2 linked regions of the Rhinolophus ferrumequinum genome follow. The main gene of each other region encodes a partner of the protein of the gene in region 2 in a complex. Links are inferred from orthologs where the notes say so. Each region holds a gene or a part of one and is shown on either strand. Other genes may lie near its edges.

Region 1 (7,533 bases), on a different chromosome or scaffold from region 2:
ACCTCTGGATTTAAATTTTTAAAGACATTTAGGCTTTCATCGTGGTCCATACCCTTGCTCTGGGGAAGAAGCCACGTGGTGAGCAGCCCTGTGGAGAGACCCACATGGTGAGGAACTGAAGCTCTCAGCCTCCATGCGTAAGAGTGAGCTAAAAAGGTGGTCTACAGTGTGGGAGGGGCTTGCTGAGATTGCAGCTCAGCTGACAGCTCCCTGAGACTCGGTGAGAGACCCTGAGCCAGAACCACCCGCTACACCCCTCCCAGATTCCTGAGCCTCCGAAACTGAGATAATAAATGTTCCTCATTTTAAGCTGCTAAAATTTGGAGTTATTTGTTATGCTACAAAAGAAAAGTAATGTATCAAGATCTAATATAACATAGTGTATCTTCTAAGTATACATGATTCCCAGATCAATTTTTTGAGGCAGGAACTATTACCTCCCTCCTTTTACAGAAAGGGAAACCGAAGCACAGAGACGGTAAACTGCTTTAATCACCCTCCTAGTCAGCATAGGTGGATCAGTCTCCAAAGCCTTCACTCCTAATATGGAATTTCACAGCCTTCCATGTCCCAGGTGCTGGGCTGAGTCAGCCTGGCTTTAGTATTTCATCTTATTTAATTCTCATCATAGAGTGAGATGGAGGAGATCACTCCAGAGAAAACCACCAGCCAGCACTCTGGCAGGACGCCTTAAAGTTAACAAGACACTAACTTCACACTTACCTATGAGGTAGGCAGGGCAGATTTGTGTTCTTATTCCCGGTTTAAAGATGGCCAAGCTAAGGCTTAGAGTGGATAAGGGTTTTGCCCAAAGCTGAGCATAACTCAGGAGTGGTGCGTGGGTGGGTGGCGCTGGGGTTTGAATCCTCCTCCTTCTCTTTCTTCACCCCACCGGGCGACTCCCTAATCTAATTAACGGGGTTGGGGGTGGGGAATGTTTTCTGAAGTTGCAGAAGGCCTTCCCCATACCCACTGCAAGAATGTGTATGTGTATCTTGGGAGTTCATTGGTGACCCTAGAAACTGCTCCACTGGGGACCCTGAAACTGTTCCATCCTCATATCCCCTTGCAAGGAAAAGGAAGGGAAAGCCCTCCCTTCTTACTCCTCTCTTCCTTTCCCTCGGATGTGCTCCCAACTAGAAGAGAGCTCAGGAATGCTGCCCAGCCCTTCGGCCTTTTATCCTAAATGTATCACCAGTTCTTTCCTTCCCCACAATGAGAACTTTGTGAATACTCCCCCCAGCTCTAACTGTGCACTGCTCTTCTCCTCCCATGGATTAGGCTGCAACTACTAAGCGCCAACCTCTTTTTCTTGACAAAAGCAAACAAAATAGCCTTTGAAAATAGCAAGAGGGATTGAGGGTAGAATTGAGAGGGAACTTCCAAACTGCTTCCTGTAGCAGATGGCCAAAAGAAGCTGTAGGTAGTATATTCTTTCTTGAAGATCCTTCTGGAAAGTTGGATCTTCCATGAATGGTAGGGGGGCTGGTATGGGAAAAAATGTTTGGGATCATGACTATGTGATGTGTTTGGGGAGGAAAGGCTGCAGGTAGTCCTTCTAGGAATCAGGATGGACCAGATGACTCAGCAAAGTTTGTGAGGGTTCGAGTTCTTGTCTCTTCTACAGGAGAGAATAAATCTGCCACCTGTTGTAAGAGAGATCAGAGAGGGGTGTCTGCGCTCTGAGTCAGCCAGGGAGCATGAAGACCAAGTGAACTTCAAAAGCAGAGTCCATGGCAGGGAGACTGAAGCCAGCCTTCTGAGTCACCCTCTCCTGGCTGCAGAGCTCAGCCTGGAATGTCTACAGTGGTCCTGTCAGCCTGGGGGGTGGTGACTCACCATCTTGAGCTGGAAGAGCCAGCAAGTCCCAAAGGCTCTCCTGCTGTGACAGTTCTCATTCCTGGGGCCTCAATTCAGAAGCCAGGAGGGTCTGGAGAGCAGGAGCCTGGGTTCTCTTGCAGCAGTACTGCCGTCACTCCCTCACCACACAGACTCCCTGACTTCTAGGACTCCTCAGACATTTCCCGAACCATGCCCCACAACGCTTTCCACCTGTCTGGGCCGGCAGCCTTTGTATCTGGGCTTTGGGCCAATTGGGGGTGTTCTCCTGCCTCCCCATCCCTCCTGTCCTCTCTGACCCCTCACATCCTGGAAATTCTCCGCTGTGGACTGGGGCTCTGCCCCCTCCTGAGCTTCCCCTCCCCACCCTACCCTTGCACTGCACTGGATTCTGCACACCAGGGCACTTTTCATGGCGGCACGGACTGGCTGACCAAGGCACCAGTGGGATTTCCTAAACTATTTTGATCAAGTCCAGCTTCCCAAGGCCATTATTGCCATTCCTGAGCCTCCCAATATGCCTTGTGGGGGACCTGTGGGTTCCCTGGGAGTTTAGCATTTTCTCTGATCTCCACATCCCTCCCTCCCCCAGGGCCCTGGCCACATTCTTCGTAGTCTGTCCACTGCATGGCATGAGAACCAGAGATCAAAAGGAAACAGGGAGGGGAGCTGCAGAGAGTTCCCCTCCAAGAGGTTAAGTGGGGACTTAAAGCACACTGGCCTTCAGAGCAGCCCACCCCCCAAAACAAATCCGTAGAGCCCCAGCCAGAGGCTCAGGACTGCCAGGGCCCACCACACGATCTTCTTTACTCTGGTTTGACATCAGACTTAGGGATCCCAGGAAATGATGTCCACCCTTCTTGCACACCTTCTGCCTCCAGGGTTTTGACGTAAACCCTTCTGAGCCCATTAACTATATTGCTCAACAGGAAGCAGGATCACAAGCAGCCCCCAACATCCCCTTTGGAGGCCAAATCTGAATGGATCTCTAATCTCTACCCGTTGATAGCTAGGAGATGGAATTTGGAGAGCCTGCCCAGAGAGAAGCTTTTCTACGTGGTGAAAAATGGGTGGTGTGCGGGCGAGGTCTCTAGGAAGCAGAGGTGAATTGCCCTCCTACTCTGGTTGCCTCTCATCCCACACAAGCACTTAATTTCATGCTGGAGCTGATCCCAGGCTGGGGAGTTCACCTGGAAAGGAAAGTGGCCTTTATTAGTCCCTGGAGCTATCCTGTTTCCCCGAAAATAAGACCTAGCAGGACAATCAGCTCTAATGTGTCTTTTGGAGCAAAAATTAATATACGACCCAGTATATTTTATTATATTATATTACATTATATTATATATTATATTATATTAAAGACCAGGTCTTGTATTATAGTAAAATAAGACTAGGTCTTATACTAATTTTTGCTCCAAAAGACACATTAGAGCTGATTGTCCGAGTAGGTCTTATTTTCGGGGAAACATGGTAATAGGCAGAACATGAACTTGGCTGTTTATGGTTGAAAGTACCCAGGACAAGCGGAGAAGGGAGAGCCTGCGAAGGAGGCATTGGGAGTCCACCAAAAATGCAGTCTGTGCTCTGCACCTTCTAGACTGAGAGCCGCTGTACTAAGTACTAAATACTTGTAGGAAGGCAAAGGGAGCAGCACCCAAGTGAGTCTCCAGGCTGAGGGGCAGACACAGCCCTTAGCCTCAGGAAGCCTCTGTAGGATGGAGAAGATCTAGCCCCTAGCTCACACCCCTGCTCTCAGAGAGCCCCCAGTCTGATCAAGGCGACGAAGTCCTTGCCCTGGAGAGCCCTCCAGTCTGACAGGCAAAACACGACCTCAGTGGTCCCCAGAGACCGGACCACCGATTTCTCTTATATAGGACAGTAGTGCATTTGGAGAGGATTAGATCTCATAAATCTTTACAGATAAATAGAGTTATAGCTGCCCCACCTTCTTCTGAGTTCCCCAGGTGTAAATGTGCCTCTTTTCCCTACTCTATTCTGCTCCTAAGAAGAAAGACAGCTTGAGTGTAAGTTCTCAGTTCACCTCGTTACCCCAGGGAACCTCCACCTTTCACGTTCCCTCAACCCTCTGCCCTCTCTTTCTTCAGCTTTTTCCACAGCTGGCTGGGACCACCCCCTAGATATCACAATGGGGACATTGCCACATTGCCAGCGCTATGGGCCGCTATCCAGAGCTGAGGTTCAAATGAACGCAGCCCTGCCCACTCCCCCCCAGAAGTAGCCTATTGCCTATGGGAGCGTCTTGCTCCCCCAGTTAGTACCACCCTACCCAAGTCTGCCCTCACTGAAGGTGTCCTTTCTAAAAGAAGAGCGAGACAGAAGAATACTGAGCCCTGTGCCCAGAAGGGAGGAGGGGGAAGAAGAAAAGGGGCACTTAAGGTACCCTACCCACGGGCAGGGCCCAGACAACGGCTGGAAATACCCAAATGTTAATCACCAATTAGCACAGTTCAGGTGAAAAGGGAAACTTTATTACGTGTAAAATGGACTTAATGTGGCGGGAGCTGTGCACTTAATTTCTTGAGATAAGATGCTTTTAGGCTAATCAGCGGGTCTGTGATGCCTGGATATAAAGGAGCTCCAGCAGATTTTTCTTGAGGCAGGTTCCAAAGGGCCAGAAGGTAGGAGGAAGAGATCCCCGCCCTGACCTTCTTCTGGAAGAGCCAGAAAAGGAATCTGGTAAGAGAGCAGCTGGGACAGGGGATGGACAGACACTGGAGAGAAGTGGACTGGGCACCCCTGAGATGCTCGGCACCCTTGCATCTCACTTTCTTTTCCTCTATACAAGAAATAAGAAGTTGGCTCTGATGGTTCGTTTAACACCCAGGTGACGAAGGCAGGAAGATGAAGTCTTGCAGCCTGCTCATCTCTAGTCTAGCTTTGGTTTTTGGGGCTTGGGAAGAAGGTTCTTCACTGCTATTCATCTCTGCTGAAGACCCCCTGGGGCAAGCTCTCGGTAGAAGGGTCAGACTTCAGAAAGAACTTCCTGAGTCGCGATAGAAAAGCCTGGAAAGGGGAGAATGGGATGGTTCTACATGTGGTTTTCACTTAGGGCAAGAGGGCTATGATGATTTAGGTGACAGACAATTTGAGAGCTGGAAAGCTAGCGGGTATGAACTTTGGAGGGCTCTAAGGGGAGAATCTTGCCAAACCACATGCCTGTGATGTCTAGCCATTGGAACCGGGAAGGGGGGCTGCCCAAGCACACGGGTCTTTTCTGCTTTCTTCTGCCTGGATCTCTCCCCCATTGCCCTCTCGGACTCTACTTAAAAACAACAACAACAAAAAGAAGGTTCACCTCTTGGCCAGATTCCATGTTCTTTCTAGTTACCGACACCTCTAATGCTCAGCACCCTTCACCCTCCCCAAGATGCTGCTCCAGCCTCTTAGAAGAGCCCCAAACCTCAGGACTCAGTGTAGCCCAGCTTTCAGCACCCCCACAGGCTCTGAGGCACACCAGCAGTGCGTTGCCGTACTGGCTGCTCCCTCAGCACAGTGCTTCCACCTCATCCTGCTCCTTTTCTCTCTTAGCTCGGGAAACAGTCCTTGGAAGACGGTGGCCATGAAGACATCTCTGCTGCTGGTGTCGCTGCTCCTGGCAGTGGTGTTAGGACAGAAGGAAGAGGGTCACTCCAGGTAGGGGTGAGAAGGGCAGGGGAAGGGCCTGGGGAGATGACTGGGTTCTGGTTTTCAAGGGGGAGGTGAGAAAGGGAGGAACCTCAGGCTAAGATGAAAGAAGCTCGAGGGAAAATCCTGCCAGCAGTCAGAGTGCAAAGCAAGGACGGTACCAGAGAGTACTTATGAGCTACTGTTGCAGCAGGAGAGACTGTGGTTAGATCTCTGGGAGGACTTCTCAGTGGCCAAGTGTCTGAAGTAGATGACAGTATCTCCCTTCCTAATGAAATCCTTCACCATTCATTTATGTGTGCATTGGATCAAATTTTATAGAGGGCTCAGAGGATTTCTGTGGAGTGGTCCATGAAGGTCTCCCGCCCTCATGGAGTGTATAGACCCAAGGGGAAAACAGACAAAGAACCACCTCGCCGCTTTGCAAACTGTCACGATTACTGTGAGGAAAATCAGAGTATTAGGAGGGAATATAGCAAGGGGCTTTGTATTTTGGGGAACCGAGAGAGACTTGTCTGAGTAAAGAATTGGGTCTTCTCAGATGCAAGGCTAAGCCATATGCCTGTGTAAATTCATCGATGTGAACTTGAGGCACGGCTGTCAGAGACATATACGAGGAGAGGCAAGGTCACGTAGAAGTTAACATAGACCTAGGCCAGGCTGCCCACCTATGCTGTGTGCTAAATTAATCTCTCTGCACCCTGGTTTCCTTATTCACTAAAAGAGGTGTAAATAGTGTCTGCCTAAACTAATATAATAGTGAATGTCAATTGCAATTGAACAAAAAAATTAAAAAAGAATAAGGGTGTCGTGAGGATTAGGTGAGTGTGTGTATTAAAGGTTTCCAGGGGCCCTGACTCAGTAAGCGCTATGATAAAAGAGCTCACTATTTAGTGTTCCCTGGGAACCCAAGACCTGAATCAGGTAGGGCCAGGGCAAGAGGAGTATCGGAAGGAGCTATTCAGTCCTTTGGGACAGGAGACCTCCCCCATCCCTCTTTGCCCGGAAGCCAGAGCCACACACTGAGGATACAGGGAGTGGGCCCTAAGCTGAGGATAAAGTCCTGGGGGCTTGATGCATGGACAAGAGGGGGGTTCTCTATAAAAGCAGACTCCCAAGTAACGAGCTGGTTCCTTTTCAGAGGTCGGCCTCCTGTCAGCGACAATCATTTATGCTGGCATTGGGATCCCCTGCACCCCTTCCCTGGCTTCCTGGTTTCTCTCTCTCGCCCCTCCTTGCCCCTCAGATTCCACACTAAGGCTAGCAGCTCCCAACCTCGAGGCCGCAGGTATGCCGAGGGGACTTTCATCAGTGACTACAGCATTGCCATGGACAAGATCCGCCAACAAGATTTTGTGAACTGGCTGCTGGCGCAGAAGGGGAAGAAGAATGCGTGAGTTCCCCTTGCCCAGCTCTACCTTCCGATGTCCAGCCCAGGTGTCCATTGTGGCCACACAGCCGTGTGATGCACACTCCAGGTGGCGCCTTTCGATTAGGCGACGATGGGCAGCTGGACATCATGGTGGCCCTGGTTTGGGCAGCAGTCCAGTCTAGGGGCAGGACTAGGGCAATTTCCAACTCTTTTCTTCTAAGGGGAGAGGTTGGAGAAGATGTGTTGGGCTCACAGAAGATCCCCAGGGATTGGGGATAAAGGCAATGGACTTTATCCAATGACAATGCTGCCAATGACTTTTTGGTGGTGGCCACTTCAGACTTGGGAATAGGATAAACTGCCCTCATCCTACTTCCTTCTCTTTCCCTGCCCACGCCGTTTGGTCAGCATGGTAGATTCTGAAAAGCTGTTCACTAGCAGCTGAAGATGAGTAGTGGGGAGGTTGACTGGAGAAGGAGGTACCTTCTGCTCTTTGGGTTGATGTACCAAAAGATTCCAGCATCTATGGACTGGGGAACATCTGGCATGGCCCCCAACCCCACTCACGCCCTAATCTTTATCTTACCAGCTGGAAACACAACATCACGCAGAGGGAGGCCCAGGTCCTAGAGCTGGCCCATCAATCTAACAGGAAGAAGGAGACCAGAGAGCAGCAG
Region 2 (7,517 bases):
GCACTGTCCCTCTCTGTCTCACTGGATCCCCTGTGCCTGTGTCACAGGCTCTCAGTCTCCCCTTCCTAGGTCTTCTCTCTCTGAGTCTCTGTCTCTGTGCCTCTCTTTGGGTTCCCATGTTTGTGGGTGTGTCTCTTTCAGTCTCTGTCTCTCTTGCTATCTCTCTCTGTCTCTGGGTCTCTTTCTTTCAGGCCTCCTCTCAGCAGTCCTGAATCTCAGGAGGCCATCTCAACCTCCCATTTCTGGCATCAGTCTTCGTGGGGCGCCCCCTCTTTCCATCCCTCTCTGCCTCATTTCTCCTGCACCATCTGCTGCCACTCCAGGCCCCTGCCTGCTCCCACACGCTCTGCTTGGCCAGGCAGCCCCATGGGGAGGCACAGGCCCTCCAGCTTCCTCCCCACCACTGCATCCTGAAGTGGGGGTGCACGGCCTGGTCATTGCTGGGGTGGGGGCAAGGGGACAACAGCCTGGAAACCCAGGGCCAGAGGCAATGGAGAGAGAGAAACAGATAGGCACCCAGCAAGAAGATGGGAAAAAAAGGAGAAGAGAAAGGAGAAAGTGTAAAGAGAGGCAAAAACAGGCTGATCTCAGTATGAGAGAGAGCAAAAGAAATAAGCAGAGGAGCAGAATGAAACTGGAGGAAAGAGAAAAGACAGCTCTGCAAGCAAGAGAGGAAGATAGACAAACTGAGGGGGGTCTTGGAGAAAAGAAGGAAGGAGAAATTCAGATCAAAGAGAGAGAGAGAGAGAGAGGGTGGCCTGGATAGAAATGGACAACAGAGAGAGAAGGGCAGAGGAGAGGGCACAGTTGCTTCTCTACCTGCAGTTTCCGGAAGCTCTGAGCACAAGAACTACGGAATTCTCTCCAAAGATCCAAAGAGTGCCCGTGTGGCCGTGCTGCCCTCTCCCCAGACGCTGGGAGACTGAAGAGGACCCAGGAGGGCTGACGGGCAGGGGGCCACTCAGGGACCTGGGCATCTCCCCTCCTGCCCTCCATGCCCCCCCCCCCAGTGCTATTCTGCCCTGTGTTTTCCTGGAGGGGCTGATGGGGGTGGTGCTGAGGGGTTATGAGCCATGGCTCCTGACTCGGTCGTCTCTCCTAAGACCTCATCTTTCAGGCTCTCTCTCCCTTCACCCTCCCCATCTTCATCTCTCAATATCTCTGTCTCTCCGTTTATACCTCTTCTCTGTCTCTCTCCCTCTCTTGGTCCGTTTTTTCTCTCCTAGTTTCTCTCTCTCCATTTCTCCTTATTTCTGTCTCTTTCGAATTCTTTTCATTTGTCTCTCTTGGTCTGTCTCCTCCTCTTGGTCTCTCTCGTCTCTGTCTCTTCCTGTCTCTGTTTGTCTTCGATCTTTCTTGGTTTCTTTTCCTGTCTCTCTCACCACCTCAATTCCCTTCCTCTGCTTCTCCCTCCCTTCTTTTCTCTCCCCTCCTCCATTCCAGCCTTTCCCCCTCCACCTTCCCAGTCCCACCAGAGAGACCCCTAGGCCCTCTGGGGGCCAAGGAGAGACTCCCTCCCAATCCCAGCCTCTCCCCGAGGTGCCGAGGTGCTGGGCAATCTCTGACCCCTTTCCCTCTCCCCGTGAACTGAGCCTTTCCCAGGACCCAAAGGGCGCCAGGAATGTAGGGCAGAGAGCAGGGAGGCCAGCTGGAGGCCAGGAAGCCAGGACCCCCCCAAGTCACTCCCCTCCCCCAACTTGTCTCCTTTTGGTGCTGGACCTCACGCCATCCCTTACTCCCTGCCCCTCCTGGAGCCTCTGGGCCTCAGTTTCTCCTCTGCAAAATGGGCAGACTGGCCTCTGACCCACTTATCTTATAAGTCTCAGGGGAGTGTGTGCTCACAAATGTTAATAGCATGATTAATGTGCATGAATTGGTGGTTTGTGTTAAAGGGGGATGAGAGTACTGAGAGCTGGGACTCCCTGTCTAAGTCCTACCTCTTACATGTACAGATGTGCCCCATATTTTAGGGCAAAGGAAGAGACTGGAAGTGGAGATTGTGAGGTGTGTGAGTCAGTGTGATTGTGGCCATGAGACCATGTGAGGCTGTGGGTTTGTGTGTGATTGGGGGATGTTGGTATGTGATCCCGTGTGCCTTGTGCGTGCGGGTGAGTCTGTGATGGAGAGAGTGGTATATCTGTACAACCATGGCACTTGATGTGACTGTGAGGGTGACAGTGTGACAAGGTGACGTTGGGAGCCTGTGAAAGTGTGTGCCTCAGTGATGGGGAATGTGTGTTGTTGGGATGTGACTGTAGACCCTGTAGGTGATTATGTGAAGTGTGAAACAATGTGTGTGGTTGTGTAACATTGTGTGTAGCCTTCAGATTGTGTCATTAAAGGAGTATATCGGGGTGGCTGATTAGCTCAGTTGGTTAGAGCATGGGGTTAATAACAACGTTGCCAGTATGATCCCCACATGGGCCACTGTGAGCTGCGCCCTTCTTAAATTAAAAAAAAAAAAAAAGGAGTATATGACTATGTGAGAAACCATATAACTGTTCATTTATCTCATCAACAGTCATTCTTTGAGCCTTTCTGCTGTGCCCAAACCTGTGCTGAATGACGCTGAAGACCCAGTGGTGACAGAGACGCCCTGGCCCTGTCTTCACAGGGCACACAGGCCAGTGGGGGAGACAGCTGGTGATGTGACCTCCATGAATGTGTGATTGACACAATATCACTGGAACTATGGAACGTTGTGATTGTGTCACTGTGTGAGTGGAGGAGTCCACGCCCCATATATGTTGCTGTGTGTCATTGTGAATGACTGTCAACCTTTGGGTGAGAGACCTTGGCTCTCTGGGTGTGACTGTAGCTTGTATGACTATGAATGACTGTGAGGAACAGTCTGTGAGATTCTGTTCTGAGCCTCTCTGTGGCTAAGTGAATGGGATTATATGTGACACTGTGCCTGTGACTGACTGCGTGACTGCTTGCAGCTCTGTGGGCGATGGCTGGGTGGGACACTATGAGAGACTGTGTATTGGGGGGATCCTTAGGATGATGACTCCGTGACTGCTCTCCCACGTGATCTTGAGTGACTGTGATACTCACAAGTGACTGGCCCCCTGCTCTGGGTCTTTGCCCCAGAGCTCCCCCCTTCCTTCCCTGGCCCGCCCTGGCCCCGCCCCCTCCCACCACCACAGGCTGTCACCTATTCCAGAGCCCAGGCGAGACAGTGGAGGCAGCAGCGGAGGCAGCCGCAGGACAGGTGAGGGCTCTCCCTATCCTAGCCCCCATGTCCCCCTCAAGTCTCTGGGTCCCTATCTTTCTCTCTGTTTCTTAGCCTGTGACTATGTCTTTCTGTCTCTCTGTGCCCACAATCTCTTCCTCCTCTCTGTCTCTGTCTCCCAATTCCTTTCTTTTTTTCAGTGTTCACAAGATGACCATTCACTTTATTAATTTTCAAATTATCAAGCCCAAAACAATGTCCACATAAGTTATTAGTCAAGCCGTTGTTTCTCAGCCTAGTTGTGTAGGACCCAGCTCCCTGGCCCATGCTGGTGTTATGAGCCTTGCGCTCCCCCCTGGCTGAGGCAGTCGGTTGCCTGTCGTCGGTCAACAACTGCTCACAGCAGCTCACGGCAGCTCTCGCCGGCTGCCGGCCATCCCAATTTCTATTTAGTCTCTTGATAGCTCTGTACCTCCATCTCTCTTTCCTCCATTTTCTGTGTCTCTCTCCCATGTCTCTCTTCTCTTTGTCTCCTAGCCCACATTTCTGCCTCTGTCTTTCGGTTTCTGGTCTCTTGCTGTGCGTCTCTTCTATCTCCATGTATCTCTGTCTCTATATTTCTGTCTCATGCATCTCTGACTTCGCGTCTGTCTTTCTGGGGCTCCATGTGAGATCCTGCCGGCCCCCGCTTTCCCTGCATGGTGCTAGATGGGGGGTGTTGGGAGTTAGACCAATGTCCAGACATATGGGTCCCTACAAACCTAAGCCCAGGGTCTGACGCCTCTCTAGTCGCTAAGGAGAGGGTTGTCCAATCCACTCAGGCTTTATCCACAGCGAGGAAAGTTTATAAGGTCGGGTTCCTATCTGCGATTTGAAAACCCTTTGGGCTCGGAGAGTGGGAACTCCGAGGGTCATTTCCATGCCTGACGGTTTCTGTGCCCTCCTTTCCAAGATGGTCCCCAGGTTCCCCGTAGTCTCTAGGTCTAGACTCCCTCTGACATTAGTGCTTCCGCCCAGTGCAGCTCTAGGGCAACCGCGCCCTCAGCAAACACCCCCCCTTCCACAGCCGCTGCTCCAGAAACAGCTGGGGGTGAGCCCCGGAATCACGTGTCGAATCCCAGCCTCGCCCCCTCCTCACGCGTCTCTCCCCCCAAATTCTCACGTGTGTGGACAGCGGGGGGCGCTGGCTCTGAGTCCGCGTGTATGAATTCCGGAGCCGAGTGGCTCTAGGGCGGAGGGCAGAGGCTCCGGATTTTGCTCTTGGACCCTCCAGGCCGAGCTGCTCCCCCGTCCGAAGGACCGAACCTCCTCGCTCCCCATGCCCCGCCGCCCTCACGATGACCAACTGCCCGTCCTGGCGGCTGCTACTGCTGTTCTCGCTGTGGGGACCACTGCTCTGGATGGCAGAGGTGAGGACTCGAGTTGCTATAGGAGTTCAAGGCTTGGAGGGAGATTTGGGGGCGGTTTTAAGTCTTGCCCCACTGCCGAGAGAGTTTTAAGACTGCCCCACTTGCCAAGATTCAAGTTTTGATGGTTGTTTCTCTAGTCTCTCTTCTTTCGCCCTCAAATCCTCCTGATGATTTCCAGCCACTCCCCTAATTTTCCTGGAGGTGTTCAGTCCCCCACAGCAACTCCCCTGGTGGTTTCTAGGTACCCCACAAGAGTTAGAAGAGGTTTCTCAGCCACCCAAGACTGGGCAAAGCGAACAGCCCCCCCTCTAAGTCCCTCTCGGGTGTCTGGCCCACACCATCTGGGAGCGGGTGTCGGTCGGGGGGGTCCTCCCTTCTTTCTTTCCGTAGACAGGCTCTGAGGGGCAGACGGCGGGGGAGCTGTACCAGCGCTGGGAACGCTACCGCAGGGAGTGCCAGGAGACGCTGGAGACAGCGGAGTCCCCAGCGGGTAGGAGTGGGGAAGGGGTGGGCTGGGTGGATGGGAAGGGCTGGGGCTGAGAGGGGTGGGCTTGGGGCGGGCCTAGGACTAACGGGCGGGGCCTGAGAGAGGAGATGTCTGGGGTAGATGCGGGCTGGGTTGGAGAGGCCTGGGTGGGCTTGGCCTCGGTGGGAAAGACTTAGAGCTGAGAGCGTGGGGTCTGGGGAGAAACTCGGATTAGTGGGAGAGGCCTGGAAAGAAGCTTGAAATGGGCAGGGTTTTGGGTCGGGCTGCACTGAATGGGTAGAGCCTGAAATGAAGCGCGAAGGGGGTGGGGCTTGGGGTGGAGCCTAGGAAGGGCCTCGCAGAGTGGGAAGCACGTGCACTGGGAACTTGCATGGGGTGGGGGCAGAGCCGAGAGTGAGGCTGGAAGGATGGGCGCGGCCTCGGGGTGCGATGGACAGAGCTGTGGAGAAGCAGGGATGGACCACTCTAGGTGGGCGGGGCTAGGGCCGGGCTTGTTGTGTGTAAGGTGGGGAGAAGCGTTGGGCTCAGGGTGCAGTAGGTCCCCCGACATCTGACCCCCACGCCCACCCCAGGCCTCGCCTGCAACGGGTCCTTCGACATGTACGTCTGCTGGGACTACGCTGCACCTAACGCCACTGCCCGTGCGTCTTGCCCCTGGTACCTGCCCTGGTATCGCCATGGTGAGTGGCCCCCAGGCTCTCCCTGAAACAAACAGCTCCTAACTCTTGCCCCAGACACCACTCCCTCAAAGCTCACCTACACCCCATCTCCTGCTCCTCTCTGTCTGGGTGTTTCCTCCTGTATGTCCAACCCTGGCTGGGTCACCCTGATCCTGGCTCTGTCACCTAATGCCCCTCCTCTGTCTCTGTCTCTGTATCTCTGAGGACCACCGGGTTCTTACTTTCTCTTTTCTGAGTCTGTCTCTGGGCATCCTGGTCTTCCTGTCCTAACTAGCTATGTGGCCCAGGACAGTTTATTTAACTTCTTTATGCCTCAACCTCCTCATCTGTAAAATGGGATTGATGACAGTACCTATTCCATGGGCTTCTTATGAATATTAATTAATACGTGTAAAATGCTATATGAGGGTTTTTATCATCACCATCACTTTGGCTCTCTCTCTCTCTCTCTCTCTCTCTCTGCCTTTTTATCACAGTTGGTCTTTCTGTCTCCATCTCTTTCTCTGTGCCTCTGATCCCCTACAGTGGCTGCGGGCTTTGTCCTCCGCCAGTGTGGCAGTGATGGCCAATGGGGACCTTGGAGAGACCATTCTCAGTGTGAGAACCCAGAGAAGAATGAGACCTTTCAGGTAAAAATAGGTTAGAGATTCAGATTGAACATCCAAGGAAAGGTGAAAAGGCAGCATCCTCATACCGAGCCTGAAACCCCTTGTACTGTTCAGAGCTCTGGGTTCCAAGGGACAGAAACTCAACTTAAACTTGCTTGATGATGGAGAAAAAAATGTACTGGCTTCTGTGATTGAAAAGTAGAAGGCTACAGCCTCAGGCACAGCTGGATCTAGGTGCTCAAATGATGTCAGGAATCTCTTGTCTCTCACCATATCATGCCTGTTTTTTCTGTTCTGGCCTCATCTTTTCTGTGGGGTGGAAAAGGTGTTCCCCATTAGCACCAGGCTCACATCCCACCAACCAAGCGACACTGCGGAGATTGAACTTCGTTCTCAATAGCTCCAGCATAATAATGTCCCAGGACTGACTCTTATTGGCCTGGTTTGGGTCATATGCCCACCCTGGACTAATCACTCTGTGTGTGTGTGTGTGTGTGTGTGTGTGTGTGTGTGTGTGTGACATGGCGATGGGGACGTGGGGGGGTAGATATAATGCTCTGATTGGCTGGTCACATATCCAGCCCTGGAGCTGAGTGGTAAAGTCAGTCCCACTCAAATAAGAGTAGCTGGATCCCTGAGAGAAAATTGGGGTGCTGGGCAAGAACAAAGAGCAGAAGAGACAGGATAGGAGAGGCTAACTGGTGGGGGAGGATTTGGTAGATACCTAGCCCCTTCTGGTCCTGGGGGAAGAGCTGAGCTCTGTGCCTTTGTCCCCCACCCCCACAGGACCAAAGGCTGATCTTGGAACGGCTACAGATTGTGTACACTGTCGGCTATTCCCTGTCACTGGCCACACTGCTGCTGGCCCTGCTCATCTTGAGTTTCTTCAGGTGGGACACCCCAGCCTGGAGCGGCAGCGGCAGTGACTGGGCCCCACTTTGCCCAGTAAGATGGAATGGTCAGACTCCACCATCAACAAGCACCCAATGGTGGTTCTGTGGGAAGACGGGCCATGAGGTGGTTTAAGGGGCTCTAGATAGTGGGGACAGGTCTCCAGGGGTCTCCAGACTGCTTCCCAAACCCCGCAGGCGGCTGCACTGCACTCGCAACTACGTCCACATCAACCTGTTCACATCTTTCATGCTGCGGGCGGCAGCC

What was found. The genes of interacting proteins can lie anywhere in the genome.
Region 1: the proteins of GIPR (region 2) and GIP are in contact, whole or in part, in a cryo-EM structure (PDB 7RA3), measured with the Homo sapiens proteins. The link is inferred for Rhinolophus ferrumequinum from reciprocal best matches to the Homo sapiens genes GIPR and GIP. Residues at the interface, in NP_000155.1 of Homo sapiens: Gln30, Thr31, Ala32, Leu35, Tyr36, Trp39, Tyr68, Trp71, Leu88, Trp90, Arg101, Arg113, His115, Asn120, Gln130, Arg131, Leu134, Glu135, Leu137, Gln138, Tyr141, Tyr145, Arg183, Ile187, Arg190, Asp191, Pro197, Gly198, Pro199, Tyr200; in NP_004114.1 of Homo sapiens: Tyr52, Ala53, Glu54, Gly55, Thr56, Phe57, Ile58, Ser59, Asp60, Tyr61, Ser62, Ile63, Ala64, Met65, Asp66, Lys67, Ile68, His69, Gln70, Gln71, Phe73, Val74, Trp76, Leu77, Leu78, Lys81.

Annotation. Positions count from the first base shown.
Region 1 is NC_046304.1:34,201,436-34,208,968, forward strand, and holds the start of GIP (gastric inhibitory polypeptide), read left to right. Parts: upstream 1-4,514; 5' UTR 4,515-4,536; intron 4,537-5,388; 5' UTR 5,389-5,419; coding exon 5,420-5,493; intron 5,494-6,730; coding exon 6,731-6,877; intron 6,878-7,445; coding exon 7,446-7,533. UniProt on the Homo sapiens protein: Potent stimulator of insulin secretion and relatively poor inhibitor of gastric acid secretion.
Region 2 is NC_046298.1:41,979,512-41,987,028, forward strand, and holds the start of GIPR (gastric inhibitory polypeptide receptor), read left to right. Parts: upstream 1-4,505; 5' UTR 4,506-4,512; coding exon 4,513-4,584; intron 4,585-4,974; coding exon 4,975-5,074; intron 5,075-5,643; coding exon 5,644-5,751; intron 5,752-6,276; coding exon 6,277-6,380; intron 6,381-7,145; coding exon 7,146-7,249; intron 7,250-7,447; coding exon 7,448-7,517. UniProt on the Homo sapiens protein: This is a receptor for GIP. The activity of this receptor is mediated by G proteins which activate adenylyl cyclase.